Linked DNA regions of Oreochromis niloticus. The protein of the gene in region 3 purifies or fractionates together with the protein of the main gene of each other region. This does not show direct contact. Links are inferred from orthologs where the notes say so. Each region holds a gene or a part of one and is shown on either strand. Other genes may lie near its edges.

Evidence for each region. Proteins that work in one complex are often made in the same cells at the same time.
Region 1: the proteins of ubxn2a (region 3) and ppp1r7 purify together in Homo sapiens (affinity purification with mass spectrometry; 3 studies listed by BioGRID and IntAct, counting the BioPlex papers as one, with this or other methods). This does not show direct contact. The link is inferred for Oreochromis niloticus from reciprocal best matches to the Homo sapiens genes UBXN2A and PPP1R7.
Region 2: the proteins of ubxn2a (region 3) and ppp1r11 purify together in Homo sapiens (affinity purification with mass spectrometry; 3 studies listed by BioGRID and IntAct, counting the BioPlex papers as one, with this or other methods). This does not show direct contact. The link is inferred for Oreochromis niloticus from reciprocal best matches to the Homo sapiens genes UBXN2A and PPP1R11.

The regions. Positions count from the first base shown.
Region 1 is NC_031982.2:16,066,420-16,074,158, reverse strand, and holds the start of ppp1r7 (protein phosphatase 1 regulatory subunit 7), read right to left. Parts: upstream 3,021-7,739; 5' UTR 2,977-3,020; coding exon 2,877-2,976; intron 2,841-2,876; exon of another isoform or gene 2,769-2,840; coding exon of another isoform or gene 2,756-2,768; intron 2,158-2,755; coding exon 2,062-2,157; intron 1,870-2,061; coding exon 1,814-1,869; intron 1,595-1,813; coding exon 1,529-1,594; intron 1,352-1,528; coding exon 1,221-1,351; intron 1,119-1,220; coding exon 956-1,118; intron 801-955; coding exon 684-800; intron 600-683; coding exon 495-599; intron 386-494; coding exon 299-385; intron 1-298. UniProt on the Homo sapiens protein: Regulatory subunit of protein phosphatase 1.
Region 2 is NC_031985.2:37,932,339-37,939,606, forward strand, and holds the start of ppp1r11 (E3 ubiquitin-protein ligase PPP1R11), read left to right. Parts: upstream 1-4,248; 5' UTR 4,249-4,392; coding exon 4,393-4,503; intron 4,504-4,632; coding exon 4,633-4,746; intron 4,747-6,034; coding exon 6,035-6,143; intron 6,144-7,268. Other genes in the region: vars2 (valine--tRNA ligase, mitochondrial), read right to left, coding at 436-517, 600-697, 879-945, 1,019-1,140, 2,330-2,430, 2,512-2,593, 3,785-3,946. UniProt on the Homo sapiens protein: Atypical E3 ubiquitin-protein ligase which ubiquitinates TLR2 at 'Lys-754' leading to its degradation by the proteasome.
Region 3 is NC_031980.2:3,667,519-3,675,150, reverse strand, and holds the start of ubxn2a (UBX domain-containing protein 2A), read left to right. Parts: upstream 1-4,624; 5' UTR 4,625-4,777; intron 4,778-5,155; 5' UTR 5,156-5,174; coding exon 5,175-5,218; intron 5,219-5,452; coding exon 5,453-5,564; intron 5,565-7,282; coding exon 7,283-7,392; intron 7,393-7,632. Other genes in the region: atad2b (ATPase family AAA domain-containing protein 2B), read right to left, coding at 1,621-1,719. UniProt on the Homo sapiens protein: Acts to repress the ubiquitination and subsequent endoplasmic reticulum-associated degradation of CHRNA3 by the STUB1-VCP-UBXN2A complex in cortical neurons.

The DNA of each region.
Region 1 (7,739 bases), on a different chromosome or scaffold from region 3:
TCCACCTTCACTGCCTCTACTCCTTGCATCTTCACTTTTCTACCCATCTCATTCCTCTTTTCTCCAGTGCATACCTCCACCTCAGCAGGATCTGTTCCCTACCCACAATGTCATAATTTTTATTAACAAGCAAAGGTGTAGTTAATTATTTGATGATGGTTGCCTTTTAATGCATGCCGACGTTAAATTTTCTATGTTCTAAGAAACTTTTCTTCTTCTGTCAAACTGTCAGCAGTGAAGATGGGCTGTCTGTACTGAGGCTGTACATTAAACAACATGTCAAACAAACTATCTGTACCCAGAACTCCTGCAGCTCCGTCAGGTGGCTGATGTTTTCTATTTTCTTTACTCGATTGGCTGCGATGTCGAGGGTGGTGAGTTTTTTCTGTTCGGAAAAACAAACATTGCTGTTACATGTTTGCACAATTCAACAGTATGGAACCCTATTTTTTTTATGTGTTTTGGAAATGTGGGACTGAAAGTTTATAACTTACATTGTTTTCCAACCCCTCAATGACCTCAACGCCATTGTGGCTCAGATAGAGCTCCTTCAGGTTGACAAGGTTCTGAAGCCCCTCAATTTTCGTAATCCGGTTGCTCTGCAAGTAAATGCAAACCCAATGATTATCTGTTGTCTGGATCGTGTGCAACTGTAATCAAGTGATGAATGTATGTGAGGATACCTGGATGCTTAAAACAGTCAGGTTGTGTAAAGCGTCCAGATTTTGAAGCCTTGTTATTTTATTAGTGCCAAGAAACAAACTTTGCAAAGATGTAAGTGAATCCAGGTTTTCAATGACCTGTGAACACAACAACATGAAGGCAACACTTCAAAATTACATGACAACTTACATTTTCCAACAAATCGTCATTTATATTTTGCAAACAAAACCCATTATTTACATAAGGAGTTCAAAACAACTTCTCAGTGCAGCACAGTCCCTTTGTATCTCACCCTAATGCGATTGGAGCCGAGCTCCAGCATCTCCAGACCTGTGAGGTGCTCCAGATTCCCAATGCTGCTAATTTTGTTGTGAAGCAGAAAAAGTTTCTTCAGCCGAGTCAACTGCTCCAAACCCTCCACCTTCCTCAAAACGTTAAATGACACGTCAAGCTGCCTGTGGGTTGTCAAAACAACAGTCCCTCTCAGAATAAATATACCTTGATATGTGAGACCTTTGTTCAGGCTTACGTAAGAAGCACAGTTTTGTCAAACTTACTCCAGCTCCGTGAGGTTGTGCAGATTCTCCAGTTTGCGGATCTGATTGTCATAGAAATCTAGTTCCCGCAGGGCACTCAAACTGTCGAGGTTTTCTATCTTTTTAATGAGGTTCTGCCGTAAGGAGAGCGTCTGCGTGCAGAGGAGAGGCAAAAATAAAAGAGGATACCATCAAGAGCAGAATTATGGCGCATTAGATAGGTCCTTATTTTAGATATGAAAAAAAAAAATGCAGATGAAACCAAAATGCCAATAAGACTCAGGCGGTAATGACACTGCCGCCAAACGCATCACCTAAATAATACTTACTTTAGCCTTCTGTAGCACCTCTAGTCCTTCAATCTTTCCAATACGACAGTGAACAAGATCAACATCCTAGAAAGAAATATAGACACCGTAAGAGATCAGGCAGTCTATGGTTAATTGCCGTTATGGCACAGCACCTACATACAGATTTACACAAAGAAGTTCAAATTTAAAAAAAACAAAAAACCTACTGTTATTATGAGCTCTAACACTATCGTCTTCACTTTCTTAAACTACAAACAAAAGTCATCAGAGATGAAAGGCATTTTCTTCAAAACTTCCACTGACCTCTTCCTCAGGGTCCAAAGTTATCGTGTCCATGTCAACAGGAGACTCTTCTTTACCTTTAATATGAGCAAGAATAAATGAAATAAAATTAAAGCATCCACTGCTATCAAAAAATTAAAAAAATTAAATATTGCCACATAAAGATTTTATCTAAGAAAGTATCCATGTGAAAATAACACAAGCAGCACGCCTAATTTGTAAAATAAAGCACATTCTGTGTGGCTGGGTAGGAGGTGATGATGACCTACTCGTAGCAGTGGGCTGATTAGGGTCCACATCGCCATTGATGCTCTTCCTCCTGGTTTCATCATCACCAGACTCCTCAGACTCTCCCCTCCGGTCCACTACAGTACGCAGACAGAAGAGAGCCTCAAAACCTCAACAAAGATTCACAGCTTCCGACCGGTTACACACACACACACACACACACACACACTTAGATGATGCCAAGCCCAGGTTTATCTGGAGCAGCCACCCTCTGTCTCCACTATCACTAGATCGTGATAGTGCACATTTCTGTGCTCTGTAACGCGCTCAAATTGTGGAAAAATGTGTGGAAAAATGGGATAGCACTACCACAGATTTTACCTATTCGTATTAAATGTTGCGGGATGTGTCCCAGCTTTATTTTCATTTTTTAAAATCAGTTTGAACGCGCGTTACCTACTGAACACACGGGCGACACATTGCTAAGCACGTTAGCCAGCTAGGTAGCTGACTGTATCACAGCTAGCAGCTTTTACGAGCTGAATCTGAAACATGTTGCATGGTCGAGGAAAAAATAAACGTCTATGACCATGGGGTACCCAACACACCCTGAAACGCCGCTGTAGATGGCCTTTATAAAGATAGCATGAACTGACGTTAAATTAATATCGCCAGCTAGCGTCTTGTTATTAGCCTGTAAGCTAGCAAAGCAAGGATGAAGGTTTGGTTAGTCACCAGAGAAAAACATCAAGGAGCGTGCTCAGATGAAAAAAGACTCTTTTAAACAAATGGCTGCCAGGCTAACAAGCTATAACGATCACAACGCGGCTGCACCCTTGAAAATTTGGCTACTCACCTTCCATTTCTTGAAGCTCTCCAACAGACAGGGAAGCCATGTTTCCTGTAAACACTACTGACAACCGCGCAGCCAATCCAGTGGAAGCATACGCTGACATCAGACACAAGGGGGCGCTGAAGGCCGCTGGAAACGAGCATCAACAAATTATACGGTAAGGTTTATATAACTCAGGACATAAACGTAACACTAGTTGACAAGAAAGTACCGTTATTGAACTTGCATTATTCAGTATATAATTTCAAATGCAAGCTGCTTTTATTTCCTCTCTTTTTCTGTAACTTATTGGATTTCACACGGTACACCTGAATATAAATCTGCTAGACTGCACAGTGCAGTTTTTTTTTTTGAAGGATCTGTTCAGCAGATGTTATACATGCAGTTAGAGCTGGACTGGGACAAAAAATCGGGCCTAGCATCAGGTTGGTAGAGTTGTTGTAGGGTTAGTTCTTAGTTGCCCTGCAGCATGGGACAATTAAAAGCTACACATTTAAAAGCAATTAGCAATGACTCATGATCAAATCAGCCATTAATTTCATCTGAATCCTTGAATCTCTACCTTCCTAATTATGTCCCTTCATCTATTTTCTTACCACGTTAATTTCATCTTCCTCTGTCGCTTCCTGGCTTCTCCACAGCTGGTGGTTGCGGCAGGAGCACAGCTGTGACTGTGAGGTCTGGTTACTAGTTGTTACTACTGTTCTGCAGCAGCACCGACACCTAACATGTTGGTTAATTTTAGCATTGTAACCCCTTTCAGACTGATAGATGTTAATAGCTTTGTTTGTCTGCAGTTTCTTTAGATTGCGACCAGTAACTGTATTAAAGTTGTTTTCCTTGATTGTGATACAGTGTGTTTCTTTTTGAAATCTTATCCTACTTCACTTTGTCAGACAGGGTCTAAGTATATTCTTGATTCAGCAGGTCTGCATTAATCAGGCCTGGGTGTGGGTAGTGAAATTGAGCTCATTTTTTTTTTTTTTTTTTTTTTTTTTAAATGTGTTAATTCAGTTACAGGTAATTCATGATTTAATAAGGTTGCAGTTAGTTTCTTACACAGGGCTGGGTAGGTTTGGATAGCATTTTCTCTTAATAAATGAGATCATTTAAAAACTTTATTTTGTATTTACTCTGGTTATATCTAATATTAAAATTTGTTTTACGATCTTAACTTTTTAAGTGTGACAAATATGCAAAAAAAAAAAAAGAAAAAAAAGAAAGAAAGAATGTAAAGAAACATACTTTTTTAGGGCACTGTATGTCTTTGTAGGTTCTTAGTCATCCAGCTCATGGTAGGCTTAAGTGCTTGAAATGAAGGCACCTGGATTTCTTTTTGATTTATGAAGATGGTTCATTTCTAGTAGGAGAGTCCCAGATAGGATTGTCCTGTTGGAGGTGGTTCTGAGTCACTCACACACCCTGTCATCATGTAATTAGTTAAAAGTCATATGAGCCACGAGTGTGAATCACGGCAAGGGTCATTAAAGTGCCAAGACTCCTTGGTGAGATATTACCCCACCTTGCCATCATGTGCGCCAGTGAGGTCAAAGTGTATGACTATCAGAATCCCCTCCACTGCAAGGTTGCATACTGCAAAATAAGTCCAAATGCATATCCCATGATGCATTGAGCATTTCTGCTTTACTCACCTCTTTTATCTGTCTACCCTGTGTACCCCCAACCAGTCACAGCGAATGGCTGCCCCCCTGGTTCAGCTGGTGGTTTCTTCCTGTTGAAAAGGAATGTTTCCTACCCAGTATCACCAGCTGTTAGCTCATAGGGGGTCATCTGATTGATCATCATCAGATTTAATTGTTGGGGTTTTTGCTGTGTTATTGTAGGATCTTTACCTGACAATATAAGGCACGTTGAGGCGACTGTTGTTGTGATTTGGTGCTATATAAATAAAACTGAATTGAACTGAATTGAATTTCTTGTATCTTGTGATTGGAAGGTCTGTTATTTTATTTGTGTTTTAAGTGATTATTTGGCTCGGACTGTAAAAATGTCGATGTTTATGTAGCACATTAATGACTCAAAAGCAGGAGAGATGACAATTTAAAGTGAGCAGCATAACCACTTATACAAGGTGAAAAAGGGTGCTTGAAGTAATTCTGTCTGATGTAACATAAAACAGCCCTGTCTCTGTTACATTTCCTGCACTACCACAACAGGTTGTTTATACGACCACTTCCCATGCGTGCTGCGTACCGCCCATCTTAAGAATTCCCTTGCATAAGACTGAGGCACTGCTGTCATCCACAAGAGACCTGATTACAACATCAGCATCCAGATAGTTAACATTTCTAAAAACATAACAAACAGACACTGCCGATTTGAGCCCATGGTGTCTAATCAATGTGTTTCTGTTATGATGACATGAGTGTGATTGTGTAACGTGTTAGATATGATTTTTTTAAAAAGGAACATACAATTCTTACTTGACATGTTATCGGGGGTAAGCAGAGGTGTGTCAGCCGGGATAGGAGAATAAAGGTTGTTTTCATGCTTAACTAGCAGCTAAATATGTTTCTAAGCTGCACCTCCCAGAATCATTGACCAGTCATTTCAAGACACAAATGTAAATATTAACTCTTCAGAAGAGTAATGACAAAATTAGAACATTTGTTTGAAAGTTGAAGGCACAGCAAACATATAAACCGCAGAATGTACCATATACAGGTGGGTCCATAAGTCATTTTTTTCCTCGGTACACCAGCACAAAGGATTTTAAAAAAAAGAAAAAGATATTTAAGATTAAAGACTATACATACTGTAATCTGCTAAAGTATTGTGTTAACTGTTTGTACTACAGCAATTCTTATGCACTCTCCCCCAGAGGCTAAATTGGCAGAGAACAATGTAATGGCCCCATGAGGATCTGTCTGGTCCCTCGTTATTCCATGATACAAAGAGGAGTAAATGTATTTTAGTAGTAAGCGCAGACATCTTTTTTTCCTCCTGTGGTGGCTTCAGTCTGCTGATTTGTTTTGCCTTTGTATTGAATTTCCTCTTTTGAGTGTATAACTCGATAACTCAGAGACATCACAACCCAGCCTGAAGTTAAGCGCACTGACTCCATAATCCACAAATGTATTTATTCTTAACATTTGCACCAATTCATACATGCATTCCAATGCGTTTTATTTTGATCACATTGCTAATTGGAAGGTCAGGCTCCTCCAGCATGTATGTCAAAGTATCCTTGGGCAAGATATTAAAACCCAAGTTGCCCCAGATGCATCCATTGAAGTATGTGTGTGCAAATGTTAGGCAAAGTGCTTATTGACATAGAAAGAAGCACACGTACAAATGTTTGTGTGTATGGCTGAATAACACTCGTAGTAAGAAGATGCTCTAAGTGCTCACACAGAGTAGAAAAGTGCTATACGTAAAGTCAATTTAAGCATATAAAATGAGTTTCATTGTTTACACTTTCAACACATCTCTGACAGCAGCCAGCAGCTGTGTTAAACATTCAGACTGTGTAATATCACCCAACAGTTTTTCATTGAATGTTTGTTTCATCTCCCCATCATATGCTGCTACTCTTTATCCATTTGCACAATACTATGTCACTTTTATTCGATATCATATTTTGCACTATCCTACTGTATATTACTGTATACTTGTATTCTATTGTACATATTGTATATCTTATTACTCTGTTCCTCTGTCTCTCTTGCTGCATTGAGCATGTGTATGACAAAAGAATTTCCCTCGGGATAAATAAAGTTCTTCTTATCTTATCTTAAACTGGACTGACTGCAGGATTTGATCAGATTCTGCTCTCAGGGATAACAGGCTCAGGGTTATCCCTCTATAAACACCTTAAATTTAGTGCGTCTCCCCCAAAACCACACTCACTGGCCACTGTATTAGGTACACATATCTAGTGCAGTGTTGGAGCCCCTTTCCCCTTCAGAACTACATTGATTCTTCCTGGCATAGATTCAGCAAAGTGCTGGAAACATTTTCCTTTTCCTGTTCTTAGCTGACAGGAGTGGCACCTGCTGCAGTCTTCTGCCGTTCTAGTCCATCTGCTTCTAGGTTCATGCTGTGCGCTCAGAGATGCTCTTCTGCATACCTTGGTCATGAGTAGTTTTTCAGTTACTGTTGCCTTCCTACCAGTTCGAAGCGGTCTTACAACGTTAACAAGACATTTTCCCATAGATAACTGCTGGCCAGAGCATGTCTGGCACCAACAACCATGCTCAAAGTCACTTAAATCATATTTCTTCATCATTCTGATGTTAAGTTTGAATTTAAGCAGGTCTTCTTGATCAGCTCTACATGCACGGAGTTACTGCAGTCCGATTGGCTGATTGGATGAGTGTACCTAATGAACCTGCAAGTCAGTGCATACCTGCCGTAGAAACACAAGCAGGGTAGAATAAAGTAATAGAAACATACAGGTGGCAGTCGAACTAGAGTCCTTGAATAAGTCAGAGTCGTGTCAGGGTTCAGAATTCGTCACGTGATAGGCGGTGACGGTGCTTATCGGTGGATTTAAATTAGGAGACAGTCCGGCAACTTTTGACAATTATGAATCTATAAATGCGTTGAGTTACAATATTTACATACAAATGGAACAAATGAAAAAAGATGACGCGATGGCTCTCATTTTAATTATTTACGGTTTCCATGGTTACCCAGCTCTGTTTTGAATTATCAGTCGAGTCCTTTGCTCTGACTTCATAACTTCGCTGTTTTGAAAGCTACCTTAAATGACCTTTGACTGCCCCCCACGCCCCCCGCACCACCACCACCACCACACACACTCACAACAACTCCACCTCACCGGACAGCCAAAAGAAAAAGCAAGGCGGAAGCCTGAAGTCAGGTGAACCGAAACGTAAAAGC
Region 2 (7,268 bases), on a different chromosome or scaffold from region 3:
TAAAGGTGCTCATGTTTCCCCCATTCAGCACTACAGCCAATTGTACAGCTCAACTTCAGTGTTTCACTCTGCAATTCTAATGGCCACGGGATGGTGAGATTTCTCTGAATCATTTAGACGAGCCTGTGTGTGCGCCGTGGTGAGGAGGCAGAGATGGCTAAAAATAAATAAATCTGCCTTACTGGAAGCAGGGACGCTAGGAATGACTTATCATCTCTACCCATCGTGTATATGTGGTGTATGTGCTTACATCGCACTAGAGTTTCATATTCATCTCCCTTTGTACCGCTGCAGTTATTTGTACAGTTTCATAAATCAGCTCATTAGGATGGTTGAGATTATCTTCCTGGGATGGCTTCATATGTAAATCTCCATCAACACGTTGAATCGTAGAGTAAGGAACCAGAGCAGGAACATGTGTGACTCGAGTCTTACTGGGTCCATAGTGAAACAGGCTCTGCTCCAGTCCAGAGAAGCTCCAAGCTTCCTCAGCTGGTGGTAGATCTCGTCTCCTTTCCTGCAACAGAAGCTCAAAACTCAGCAAACACTGTGTAGGCCACACAGCAGATGTGCTCAGAAGTCCAGATGTGAGGACTCACTCATTCTTCCACTTCCACACCTCCTCCAGAAACTCGTCCCTCTTAAAGTCTCGTCTGTGCCTCCCTGTTTGCCTCAGCAGTCTCCTCTCCACCACCGTCTAAAACACGAGCACATCGACACTCTACAGCACTGAGCATGTGCCACAAGCGTTGCAACGACAATCTTCAGCCTTAAAAATGGAATTTGATATAAATGTGTGATTTTTAGCAGTTTCCATACTTTGATGTTACTCTGAGAGACACCTGAGAACATGTGAGCCAAACCGTCATTACGCGTACCTGCGTTGCGATACCTGCATGGTCACATCCAGGCACCCACAGCACTCTGCAGCCCTGCATCCTTCTCCTGGTGGATACAAACCATCAACAGATGAGCTTAGAGAACAAAGAAAACATGCTGCTCTGCTGTTGATAGTTACCATCGAACCAGTGCATCCTCTACAGCTACTGTCAGAGCGTGGCCCAGGTGCAGAGTCCCAGTCACGTTTGGTGGAGGAATACACAGAGAGAAGGTCTGATCCACAGCGTGGGGCAGCCGTTCCTGAGAGCAGGAAGGGAAACACATGACTTGTGTGTGTGCACACTCGCTCTGAAGAGCAACTTTTTCCTTTGCTGTAATCAAATATATCGTAATATATCGTAGTACTGTTGCTCGTGCTTTAGTAACGTATATTTTCTAATAATTGAAAATATTAACTTGACTTCTAAACCCAAATAAAATGAAATGATTTAAAAAAAAAAAAAAAAAAAAAAAAAAAAAACACACGTTCAGATTCAAATGAAATGGAACATTAAGGTGGACTTTTGAGACTGAGTGAAGACTTTTTTGCTCCTTGTCGTGCCACCTTTACCTGGATAACTTGAATACATTAAAAATGAAATACAATCAGATTGCTCTGACCAACTCTGAGGTGGTCAGGCTTGCAGCGTGATCACATCTGAGGAAGATGCACTTTTCTGTTCTTACAATCACAATGATTGTCTGAAGGCCCAGAAAAATAGGCCTTCCCAAATAGATCATTATGGCTTTTTGCCATACCGGTCCACGTGATTGTCATATTTTATTCAACCTTTATTATTATTATTTATTTATTTTTATTTATTTTGAATTATTACAATCAGAATGGACAGGACCAGGGGACAGGAAAGACGAGGGACAGAGAAGTTGGGGAGAAGAGGAGGAAAAACTCGAGATGAAGAGGGAGGGAGAAAAAAAAACAAACACTGAAAATCTGCTTCATCACCTGGTGAGAGAAAAAGAAAAAGCAAAGCAAAAACAACACAGGAGGAAACCACAGAAACCTGCCTTCTCCTGTCAAATGAACAGGAGAAGCAAAGCAATATTTTTTCTACAATAAAAATAATTATTGTAGAAAAAACAAACTGCTGTACAGCAAATAAAGAGAGCACTGCTGGCAGGACAATGGTCAGAAAGTACATAAAGTTCACTTTTGATGCCTGAAAATATGACCAAAGTAGAAGTAATTGTATGTATTGAAAACTGTCTGTGACAAATACAGATGTATGTTTTCTGATCAGTGCTCTAAAACTGTTCATCCATTTTCTGCATCACTTAATAAAAAGCGTGCACGTTGCAGGGAAATCACATATGAAAGCTTAGCTGATTAATCACTTAGTTTGTTTCATAGAAACTGCAAAAAACTGCATTAAAGTGAATTCATTTCTAACTGCAATGGTAATAATTTGATTTAACAAGATCACATGTTTACGTGTTGCTCAGGACTGAAGAATCCCTCTTTCTCCCACCACTGATACCAGCTGGACTCCACATACTCTGGACTGTAACAAGACGGGAACGGTAAGCTAGTGTCTGTAGGGAAAAAGAAAAAGGACTTTCAGAGCCTGCAAGGAGAAGAGAGAGCCAAGCCAACGGGGGTTACAGGAGAGTCACCTTTCTTTGCCCCAGGAGGTGTAGGACCGGTATAAGCAATCTTCTGCTTCTCACTCCACTTTACTGCTTTACCTTCAGCACTCTGCAAACAGAAACATCAGAGCTGGTCTAACTGGCAGCTTCAGCTATGTATTTATTCTCTCATAACTGTATTTATGACACCATAATGGACAGAGTCCATTAAAACAGCACTGAACAAGTCACAAGTCAACACGGTTCAAACACAAAAGTGTGTAAAGTAATTGTCCCCTAAACCCAATAACTGGTAGTGCTACCCTCAAGACGTCCAATCAAGTGTTTGAGTTAACAACCAATGACTCTTTCACATCACTGTGGAGGAATTTTAGCCCACTCTGCTTTGCACGATTGTTTCCAGTTAGACACATTGGACAGATTTTCCAGCACGAACAGCAACTGATTTTCACAGATGGCTGTGTAGGTTTGAATAATTTTATTAAATGAAAGCATCAATTAAAGACACAAAGACCTGGATGGCCGCTAACTTTCTGCTTCTTAATTCAGATCAAACTGAGGTTATTGTACTCGGCCCTGAAAATCTTAGAAATATGGTATCTAACCAGATTCTTACTCTGGATGGCATTACCTTGGCCTCCAGTAACACTGTGAGGAACCTTGGAGTCATTTTTGACCAGGACATGTCCTTCAATGCACATATTAAACAAATATGTAAGACTGCTTTCTTCCATTTGTGCAACATCTCTAAAATTAGAAATATCCTGTCTCAGAGTGACGCTGAAAAACTAGTTCATGCATTCATTACTTCCAGGCTGGACTACTGTAATTCTTTATTATCAGGATGTCCTAAAAACTCCCTGAAAAGCCTTCAGTTAATCCAAAATGCTGCAGCAAGAGTCCTGACAGGGACTAGAAAGAGAGAGCAGATTTCTCCTGTTTTGGCTTCCCTTCATTGGCTTCCTGTTAAATCCAGAATTCAAAATCCTGCTCCTCACATACAAGGTCTTAAATAATCAGGCCCCATCTTATCTTAATGACCTTGTAGTACCATATCACCCTATTAGAGCACTTCGCTCTCACACTGCAGGCCTACTTGTTGTTCCTAGAGTATTTAAAAGTAGAATGGGAGGCAGAGGTAACTAATGAGTGCAGCATTAAACTATTACATTATTATTGCTATTATTAATACAACGATGCCAGTATATCCGTAAAAATACACACAAACGCACTAGTACTCTTTCCTTGGAGGATTTGACAGAGAGCTTTAGCCTTCGTGCTTTGCCTCCCTCTAACTTACACCATGCTGACTCGATAGGATGCCCTCCTCCCGCACTCGTCTGCGCCTCTGCTTCTCGGCGTGGGGCCGTGCAGTGAAGTTTGTGTGAGAAGCTTTTGGTGGGGTGCTGGAACAGAGTCTGGCTGCCCTCCCCAGACTCGGACCAGTACCTGTCCTCCACATCCTCGGTAACTTTACACGCTAGAATGCCCACACATGCCAGCCACAGCCGTGTAACTTAACTACTTTGTCCCTGCCAACCTGAGGACAGACGTTTGTATGGAAGCTTTACACAAAATTAAACCCGTGACGAAACGATGTTCCAGTATGATTTTGTGCTGTTTGTTGACGGGCTATTAAATCTTCACGGACAACAGGAAACACACTTGGTCCGTCTGGAAATATCTTCCCCACACAGCGTTTCTAGCAATGACTGTAGTGTTTTCTACAGTCACTGGTTTCAAGTTAAAGCTAAGAGGAACCGGAACATCCTTCCTGAGTTTAAAAATAAAATAAATTGTGGAAACAGAGTTTTCTATCCAATTAACTATCTAAACCATTTAATTCCACACATTATATAATGATATAGCCCAGCGACTACTGTCATGTGATTATTTTTGTGTGTGGTGATGGTTCCCAGAGCTGATAGTTTTAACGAGGAGCCGTGCGTTTCCGTTCCGACCCTGGCTAACGCGTTTTGTGCTTTGACTGTAGCCACCGCTGCCCCACACCTAGTAACTGTGGGTTGACATTTTTTCCATTCAGTGCGATTTTTGGAGTTAAAGAGCGGAAGGTTAGTCGGTTAGCTGTCGACTAACGCGGTGTCGCTCATTGTTGACGCTCTGCTTCGTTTCTTTTGCATCTTTAAGCTAGTTAACGGTAGCGTTAGCAAAGCAGCGGCAGGGATGGCGGAGGTTCCAGGAACATCCAGTGAGACCATAACTGAGACAGTTCAGACGAGCACACCGCCGCCGCCCCAGCAGGTAAACGATGGACAGCTGTTCGTGAGACAGTTGGACTGCTCTGGCAGCCAGTGACAGTGTACATTAAAGAGATCAGCGTTCATGTTATTACACGGGAAGCTTCGTGAGGCCTGATATGTTAGTTACGTTAGGCTTATTTAAATGACAGGGCTGCTAGTAGCGCGGTAGCATTATGGAAAGCCGATAGCGGGCTAAGTGCTGAATATCTCAGCGTTGCTGTGTGAAAGTTAAACAGCTTTCAATTAACAACCCGAATCTGTAGTATTGTTGCATAATGTCTAAAGCAGCAGGAGCATCCGGTTTACATGTTAAATACACTCTGTTCAAATCGTATTTCAAGTTGTACTGCTCAGATAAACACAGTCAGACCTCCATTACCTGAAATTCCCATAGTCAGTTAGAGTGGGAAAAAGATGTAGCGCAGACAGGCCCATCTGTTGGCACCATGGGGCAAAGGGATTGGTCTCTGCTAGCATACATACCCGGTAACCCCAGCTTTGTGTCATTTCTGAGGCAGGTGCTCTTTAATAGTTTGTACCTTAAACCCCCTCACCCCTCCCAACCCTCACGGCTTGACTTTTTTTTTTTTTTAAAATTGTTGCACATTTTTTTCTTTTTAAATATGTGCATAGTCCTGTTTGACTTTTAAATAAGAAGAAGTCTTAAAGGATATTAAGAGGCATACTCGTGTTTGGCTACAACATACTTTGTGTATCATTTTACACAAATCTTCGTAGTCCTACTGATACAGACTGTTTACTGCAGATGTTGTCATAATTAGAAGTATTTCAATACTTATAGGGGAAATAATTTCGCCTAGGGATCAATAAAGTATTCTGATTCTGATTTCAGTGTTTGCAATTTATTTTAAGTTAGGCCTTTAAAATATTGTCAGACTGATGGTCATGGTATGTAAACTGGTTCTTATATAGCACGTTTCTGCTCTGAGCATTCAAAGCACTTTCCACAACTTAACCCATTAGCGCTTGTATCTGTCTAACATTCATACACATTTAGAGTCTGATACATCAGAGGAATAAGTCCTTGGGGTTAGTATCTGGAGCAAACAGGGATCAAACCACCAACCTTCTGATTAGTAGGTGACCTGCTCTATCACCTGAGTGAGGACATGTTTTAGAGAGCAAGAAACAATAGCATGCCCATGACGCCATAGAGAGAACAAGAAGGTCCTACAAATGATAGATGTCATGGAGTGTGAGTGCAGGATTCACAGTTCATACTGTGGTTTGTTTGTGATGTCTCACAGTAGACCTCTTACATGTTACAGGAGGGACGAAGCTTGACAATCAAGTTGAGGAAGAGGAAGACTGAGAAGAAGGTGGAGTGGTCCAGTGACACTGTTGACAACGAGCATTTGGGAAGAAGGTCTTCAAAGTGTGAGTTTATCTTTCTTCCAGCACACAGGCTGAGAAACATAATTAAGCAAATATGGCCACCACCAGTTTTCAGTGTTTTTAGATGGCCTGTTGACTTTTACTTTTTCTTTTACTGTTTAGGTTCAGTGCCAAAACTTACAATTCAATTCAATTTTATTTATATAGCGCCAAATCACAACAAAAGTCGCCTCAAGGCGCTTTATATTGTACAGTAGATCGCACAATAATAAATACAGAGAAAAACCCAACAATCATATGACCCCCTATGAGCAAGCACTTTGGCCACAGTGGGAAGGAAAAACTCCCTTTTAACAGGAAGAAACCTCCGGCAGAACCAGGCTCAGGGAGGGGCGGGGCCATCTGCTGTGATTGGTTGGGGTGAAAGAAGGAAGACAGGATAAAGACATGCTGTGGAAGAGAGACAGAGATTAATAACAGATATGATTCGATGCAGAGAGGTCTATTAACACATAGTGAGTGAGAAAGGTGACTGGAAGGGAAAAACTCAATGCATCATGGGAATCCCCGGCAGCCTACGTCTATTGCAGCATAACTAAGGGAGGATTCAGGGTCACCTGGTCCAGCCCTAACTATATGCTTTAGCAAAAAGGAAAGGTTGAAGCCTAATCTTGAAAGTAGAGATAGTGTCTGTCTCCTGAATCCAAACTGGAAGCTGGTTCCACAGAAGAGGGGCCTGAAAACTGAAGGCTCTGCCTCCCATTCTACTTTTAAATACTCTAGGAACAACAAGTAGGCCTGCAGAGCAGGCAAGCACTGTGGTATGTTTTAAGATGCTGGTGGTTTCGCAGTGGGGTTGTTGTTATCAGTGGGATTTTCTGTGGGCGTCCAGTGGCTCGTCTGTTGGGATTCTGCAGATTATGAAATAATTGAAAGTCATCATAAAAAAATGAAAACTAAATCACAAAAACAAAACAACTGATATTCTGCTCTTATGCTGAGTTTGGAACAATGGAATATTTGGCACAGGGCTGTAGAGTCAGTCCTGAAAAAGCTGCTTGTTCTGATGTTTCATGAAGTTTGTCCTTGAAAGAAACTCTGTGATTTTATTATCAGGAAAAAAAAACAAGAAAAACAAAAACTAGTTTGAAATGACAATAAAGTGCA
Region 3 (7,632 bases):
ATACAGAGAGAAGATTTCACAAATATCTGCATACAATGTCTCCTTGAATATTAAGTAAAAATATATTTAATGGGTGAAAAAAATCGAGGACAGAAGAGAACAAGATCGGCAAGTGTCAAATCCAGAATAGAGGACTGTCATGAGACAAGACACCCTGAACCCACTTCCTCAATGTACCCTGTGAATCTCAGCACAGCACCATCCAGACATACGCCCTTGATGCTCATGCCCTTCACAGCCTAACTTCCCCGCTGATATGTGAGCATATCTCACTGTTGTCATAGGCAACTGTCTGCAGTGCTGACAGAGGGGTTTGTCTGACTGTGTGGATAGATGGATGCAGACAGACGGTAAAATGCAGGATGTACCAGGAGTGAAGAAATGCATGGAGGCAGCCCAAGAGGTGCACCGTGAAATCATTTCCACATGTGAATCACTCTGCAAACACTGTCACAGCAGGACAGTCGGTTCTGACAAGTTCTGACAAGGTCAACAAGTAGCTAACAGAGTAAAATGGCTGGTTGCATGGAGTACAACACTACACTGACTTCTTGTGATATGGTAATGTAAATAAAAGGTGGGAAAGTGCAAACTCTGTTACACAGAGTCCAGCTTTACATTCACACAGTGCAATATCGGGTGCTATCAATTGGTCTGGACCTGAGCCACGTATTTCATGAATCATGACCCACAATTCTGCGACGTACCACCACTCATCCAACAAACCACTAAAACTCAGGAATGCGCAAACAGCAATCAACAGATATTTCCCATTGATGAAATGAATTCTTTGTCTATGTTAAGTGCCGTAATAATTGAAATTTTACGGAAATACGGACCTTCCCGTCTTGCACAATCACAATGTTTACATTTTGAAACAAAGCCTGTCAGGCAGCTTGTAGGTCGGGCGATCGGGAGTAAAATCTAAAGCTCATTTATCAAATCTTTCTTTCGAAGAACACATGGGAATGTTTAACTCCACGAGTGTGTTTTAAACGGACAGTCTAAAAACCAACTTGCCCATGGGTCTTTAGGTCATTTATAACTGAAAGTTCACCAAGTGCAGACTTGCTAAATACGGACCCGAGCCAGCCAACTGTTGTGAACCTGGGACTCCCTTCCCCCCACTCTAAGCTAGCTGCTAGGCTAGCTATAACCTACAATGCTAGCTTAACTATCGCTTTCTCCCTTCATATGTGAGATAATAAGTAAGCTGACACTTCGAGGATAGCGACACATAGTAGTGCCAACAGCCTTGAGTCAAAATCCCAACTGTCTTTATTGGGAGGGCTAATTAATGGTGAAAACGGTGGAACAAGTCAGCCGGTCAAAATTGCCAAAAACAAAGGGAACTCAAGTTGAAGCTATAGCCAGTTCATAACGCTAGCTTGTAATCTGACAGCTGTACAATCCGTTCAGTGCGAAGGACACGCAAACGACTAGCCGCATTCATGTCTTGCACTGTGTATCTGCGTGACTGTGTTGGTGTCAGTGTCGATACTGCTCGTATTTTGCTGTGAATAATACATTATGTGGAGCACCTTGAGGCCAAGGCTAGCAGCCAGCTAGCCAAACTAGCCAGCCAGCTAGCTCGCCGGTAAAGAAAAGAAACCGGCTTACATGTTCCTCAGAGTTTCGCTCGTTTCTCGACGACGACCTAGTCCTTGACGAGATGAAGGGACCGCTCCTAGTCCGTGAGCTTTTCCTTGTGTTCACCATGTTTTTTTTTCTTTTGTCTGCCCCTTACTGAATCTCTCTGACCGGCTCTGAACACTGCCTCAGTGAGAGCAGGATCGAGTTCGAGGCGCCATCTCTCTCTCTCTCTCTCTCTGTCTACCTCTCTATCTCCCCGCCTCTCTCTCCCTCTCTCTCTGTGTGGTGGTTCTAAGTCTGTTTGGCAGGTGCATTCATTTCTGCTGACTGGATTACCACCAAAAGATCTTTGTTATTACATGGATACTTTATATTACAAAGGCAGTAATTCTTAATGCAGATATGTTACTATGGGTAAGTACTTGTATTGTACACTGGGGACAGTCAGTGAATCAGCTAAGTACTATTAAAGCACGATAAGTCACCAGATGAATAACAAAAGGTGGTACACTTGACGGCAGCAGGAAAACAGATGGAAGTGGGCAGCCTGCACTTTATCATACAAATTGTCTGCAGTTTTTTTCCCAGGTTGCCTAGTATGTGCAGCAATTCACTCTTTGTCTTCATCAAAAATATATATATATTAAAACATCAACTAATGTAAAAGGTCTGTGAATTATAAAAATATTTAGACTTGCCCTGTAAAACTGCAATCAGAATCTTTAAAACTCAAATAATCCCACAAGCTATTATTACTACAACCTAAAAAAGAAAAACTCTGTTTGTTTGCAAGACAGGACTGAACTGTATTCACTATCAAATTTTGAATTCTTTGTGACCTTCAAGTATGTAGTAGAAGAGGCTGAATTAATAATAATCTCTTCTCCTTTTGATGCTTTTAGCCTTCCTTCTTTCACTGCACTCCCTGTCATTTTATCCCCACAAGTAAAAATGACATTTTGTGTGTTTTCTGTTCTATTTCTGGCTCGAGTCAAGATACAACTGTGCTAGCCATCTGTTTTGCTTTTTTCTTCTTTTTTTCCTCTTTTTTTGGTTCAAGCAATGGTTTCTAAAAATCAACGTCAAAACATTGGGGGGGGTTCTTAAGAACCTTGTGCCATAAAATATTCACATTTGATATCTCAAATAAATATTTTTGATACAAATGTAAGAAAATCTAAACCTTTCACATGGAAACAAGAATCTGTTTTCATTTTTTTGTACCCTGTTCTGAGCATAAGTTGGCAATGCACTCCAGCCAGGCTGTCGATTTCAAATGAAGTGAACTAGACGATTCATTCACATGTCCAGTTCATTATCTCGCCATCAAAATATCGGTTAGATGATTGAAAAATGAAATTTCTTTACCTGTGCTTATATGTTCTCGTAGAGTTTAATAGAAGGCGTGGAAATGCAGAAAAGGTCGAGGGTCATCCCGCACACTGAAATCATTCTCTACTAATACTCTATCAAAGATCAGGCATGGATTTCATGTTAACCAAACATATTTGCTTATTTTCCTGGATATAATTTAAGTCAACTCCTAGACTAAATTCTGTTACCATTGAGAGGTTCCTTTCAATTTTAAACATTTTTTTAGTCTCTCACTAGGCATAATTTGAGAGATACAGCCTGTTCTTCACACCATACATCACTGTCTTCACTGTGTAGCTGCTTAGTAATTGATGCAACATATGTCAAGTTTAAATTACTACTTTTATTAGAAGTAGTAGTGAAAAAAAACTATAATAATACATTTGCTAGCAATGATAATTGATTCAAAGATAATGAAAATAAGTTTAAGGGTATGGTTTATACTGAACATGCCACCTTGGATGCTATATTGTATCTCAAGCACAGATGTTTCTATAATTATGTCAAAAAAGTATAAACGTATGCCAAAATCATAAATAACAGGCACATTTAATAAGTAAGCAAATGAATGGGGAAAAATAAAAAGATCTTTTGTAAAATTATATTTGATGTGTTGAATTGTATTTGACTATTAAATGACCATGCTGTAGTATTGTTTGGTCTACAATGTGCAACATAATGACATCATAATATATCATGCATTATTCAAGTTTTGCTTCACAATAACACATGGGCAACAATTTTAAGTGTTATGTAAATGTTGTGCAGTGAAAGTGGTGTCATGCATGTGAAAGGTAATTTAAGTGTATAACTGCTACAAATGGGTCATTATAACCTGTTGAGAGGTGGTTGTTAGGCAACATAATATGTGATATAGATGAGAACCTTCATGAGCCTAAAGCTGTACCCCTACAGGAAGCGATTCACAGCGATGTGGCAACTACAGACCACAGAAAGTGATTTACATACATTCAGGCACTGAAACAACTACGAGTAAAATAACCAGTGATGTTGCATAGAGGGCTGGATCCAACACAAACTTTTCTCAACTCAATGAGCGACTGAAACTACTGATGAGAGACGGGATGTCATTGAATAACATAGTAAATATATGGTAATAAATGTATTGGCGCATCAGTGAGGCAGTCAGAGCCTAGAATATCCATAACTGACCACCTGTCAGCTTCAAAGCAACGTGTGATGAGCAGATCACATTCAGTGTGGAAGATGTACCTGTGTGCCAGGTTTGGTTGCTCTGTTACTCAGTTAACACAACCAAAAAGAGATTTTGTGCGTTTCAGTAAGATAGTTTTTTTTGTTTTTTTTTAATTGTTATTTGTTTTTGTTTTTGACTGATTTATTTACCTGTTCATTTATAATTTTGTTAGTTTTGGTCCTCAGGGCGTATGAGAAGCTTCTACAAGAAAATGTACCGGAAAACCAAATTAAATGATTTTTGTCTGTTTGTTTGCCTGCGTGTTTGTTAGTTAGTCATTAATGATTTGTTTTGGATTTTGGCAGTTTAAGCCCTCCATAGGGTTGAGCCATATGAGACATCTTACCTCTAAATAGAAACAAACGCACACAAGTTTGGATCCAGTGGGCTTTCCATGCCATCTAATACTGTATCGTCAGTTTCAGCTGGGAGAGAAGATCTGCTGAGTTCAGCACAGAAAGCGTACAACCGCGACATCGGGAGTGGATTTACGGCACTGTTACGTCACATGTATTGCTCAGCAGAAGCACCGCTATCCTGAAACTTATGGCTACAGATGTGTAGCCCTGGATTAACCGATTAAAACACGGACTGGTAAATCACTATTCGACCTTACCCTTTATGCGCGCATGCTAATGGGCATCTGTTGTGTTTATGCTGACAAATAATCCTCGTTTTTACGAGCGGCTCCTGCGTGTGTGTTTTGCTCTTTGCGGGTCCATCGCTTTCTGCCGCCCACTTGCATAAATAACGATAAAGCTGCAGGCTGCTTGGCTGTCTGGCTATCTATCGATCACGTAATGTTTTAGAAAAATGATCAGTTTTTAGTTCCTTTTTGAGCGGTGTAGCACAGTTTTACTGCACACGTGTACATAATACGCCGCTAAGACAATAAAAGGTTACCCCCCAAAATATTGAACATCAACCACGCTTTTAAAACGGTGTGTGTGTGTGTGCTCGCTTGTTTCTTAGATGGGAAACATAGAAAGACATGAAAGAAACTGACACTGTGGAGAGTGAGAAAGATGAACAATGGTAAGTCATTATTTTTGTTAAATCCACTTCTAGGCAAATGAAGTCCTGTAACTGAATTGATCCCGTAGTTGTAAAATAATCTGAAAATAACTGGGTTGGACACAGAAATAATAACATATTTTGGGGTGTGTGTGTGTGAACTTGCTTTGCATGGTCTTGCACAATAACGCTTGTGACTGTAGACTGAATTCAGTAAGCATGATGAGTGAATACCTGCACTTTCTTCTCATAAAGGGTGGTCAGTGAGGACAATGAAGAGGAACCTCCAATGAGTCGTAGTTTTTCTGTAGAAGACCTCCTCGATGAGGTGGAGAAGATCTGTTACGATGCCTCAGGGACTTCAAAGGTCAGAGACAAATTCACCTTGAGAGCCAGATCTCTGCAAATGCCCCGCCTACATTTCTGAGCTTATAGACTAGTAATAACACAACATTTAAGTAAAGTATACACAGCACTATGCAAGAGTCTTAAGCCACACTTCATTTGTTTATATTTATGCTTCCAAGGAGCCAGACTTACTTGTCATTTTTTAAAATTGGTTTTCATCAGTAGTTCCCATTGGCTGCTTTTTCACTCATTTTCAGTCCGGTCCTTGTATCTGACTATTTTCACAGGATTGTTATTTTTGTTTGTTAAGCCACTTAATGCATTTAAGTAGAAAAAGGCATCAAACTTAAGGAGTGAAACTAGTGTTATGTCTATAAATAATTGACAGCTTAGCAAAGAATCAATTTTTGCATCATTAAGGCACTTTGTTATTGGCAGCCTGCCACAAAAACACTTAATTTGTTCACAATTCTTTAGTTGAAACTATGGAAATTGCCAAAGATAACACCACAAGAGAGGCATAAATAGTATTTTTGCACCAGCAAGGTAATTCCTCAAGGGCTATTAGCCAAAAACATTAAAGATTTGAGGAAACTGGATAAGTACAGAATTAAAAAAAAAAAATCTTAAAGTCATGTCCTTGAGAAAAACCCAGAAAAAGACCTGACACAGGACCAGAGAGATGTCTCTATCCTTCAGTTGACCAATGTACTGTTCATTGAAGCCTCATCAGAAATGGTCACAGTGTCTCAGGCTGTCAAGAAGCTGTTGTTAAGGAAGGGAAACGGGGGAGAGAAATGGAGGGGTCAGAAAAGAGGTAGAGTGTCTACAGCCATCTGTGAAACATAGTGAAGAGTCTGTCGTGGTTTAGGACTGCATTTCAACCAGTGGTGAACAAAGGAAATGCTAAGAAAGCTGCCTAAGAGAGTTCATGTCACACATATACTCAGTATACATCAATTCAATATAAAGCACTTAAATGACATTTTGATATAGCTAATGCTCCAATTTTATATTTTTAATGACATTGTTAGGCAGAATCATCTCTGTTGACAATCAAATGTGTGCTTATTAACCTCCTGTTGTTTACATTTCTTTTAATTGCAAGTTATTATGGGATACAGGTCCCAGTGGAGCATAAAAACAGTCTCATGTTTGCATCATAGCAATTTAAATAAAATGCACAATCTAGCTAAGTGCCAGATCAAAGTATTTAATAAGTAACTTTCTAAGCTTCAAAGCCAAGAGCACAAACCAAGAGGACGTAACAAGGAATCTCTGTTTGGATTAGGCGACGGTGCTGCCTGACCGGATCATGCAGGAGAAGGACGCACTTGCCTGCAGTGAAATCACTGAACTATTACCTGTAGTTTTTCTGGCATGTGCCCAGACGAACCTCACAAAGCCTTAGTAATAGGGACCCGGCAGGCTAAACATTTGTTTAATTGCGTTGAAAATTGCATGCTCACGTTCGCCTCCAATGGCCTGCGGTGCGTGAGTGAAAATGGCGTAAGACTCTCCAAATGAGGGCTCTCGCGGAGCTCTGTCAGCCAAATCTCAGTTGAAAGCACAAGCACCAGGCTTCAGTGATCACAGGATATTTTGTTCACCCGTTCGTTGCCAGGATAAACAGTCCGCAGTAAAAGTCTGACCTTCCGAGGTTAACAGCTGTGTGGCGACTTTATCTCTGAATCCTGTCAGGCCTATTTGATTGGGTTTTTTTTGCTTTTGTTCCAGGTGGAGATGGTGGTGAGGCTGTGGAAGGACGGCTTCACTGTAAATGATGAGGACTTTCGCAGCTACTCCATTCCAGAGAATCAAGAGTTCCTGGATGCCATCAAAAGGGGGTGAGTCGACTGGCTGAAACAGGATATCTTTCCTGTTTTAAGGATGTCTTCAGTTAAATTTTTGCTGCCTTACCACAAAGGAGGGGCATCAAATCCCAGGCTTTAATCATGGTTTTTAATTATTCTTGGTGGCTTAATGACCTCAAATAGTGTTCTCGCACTGATGAGAAGGGAGTGTTCAGACTATAAACTAATAGTGCAATTCTTATTGTTCCTCAGGCAGTGAAAAGTTAATGGCAA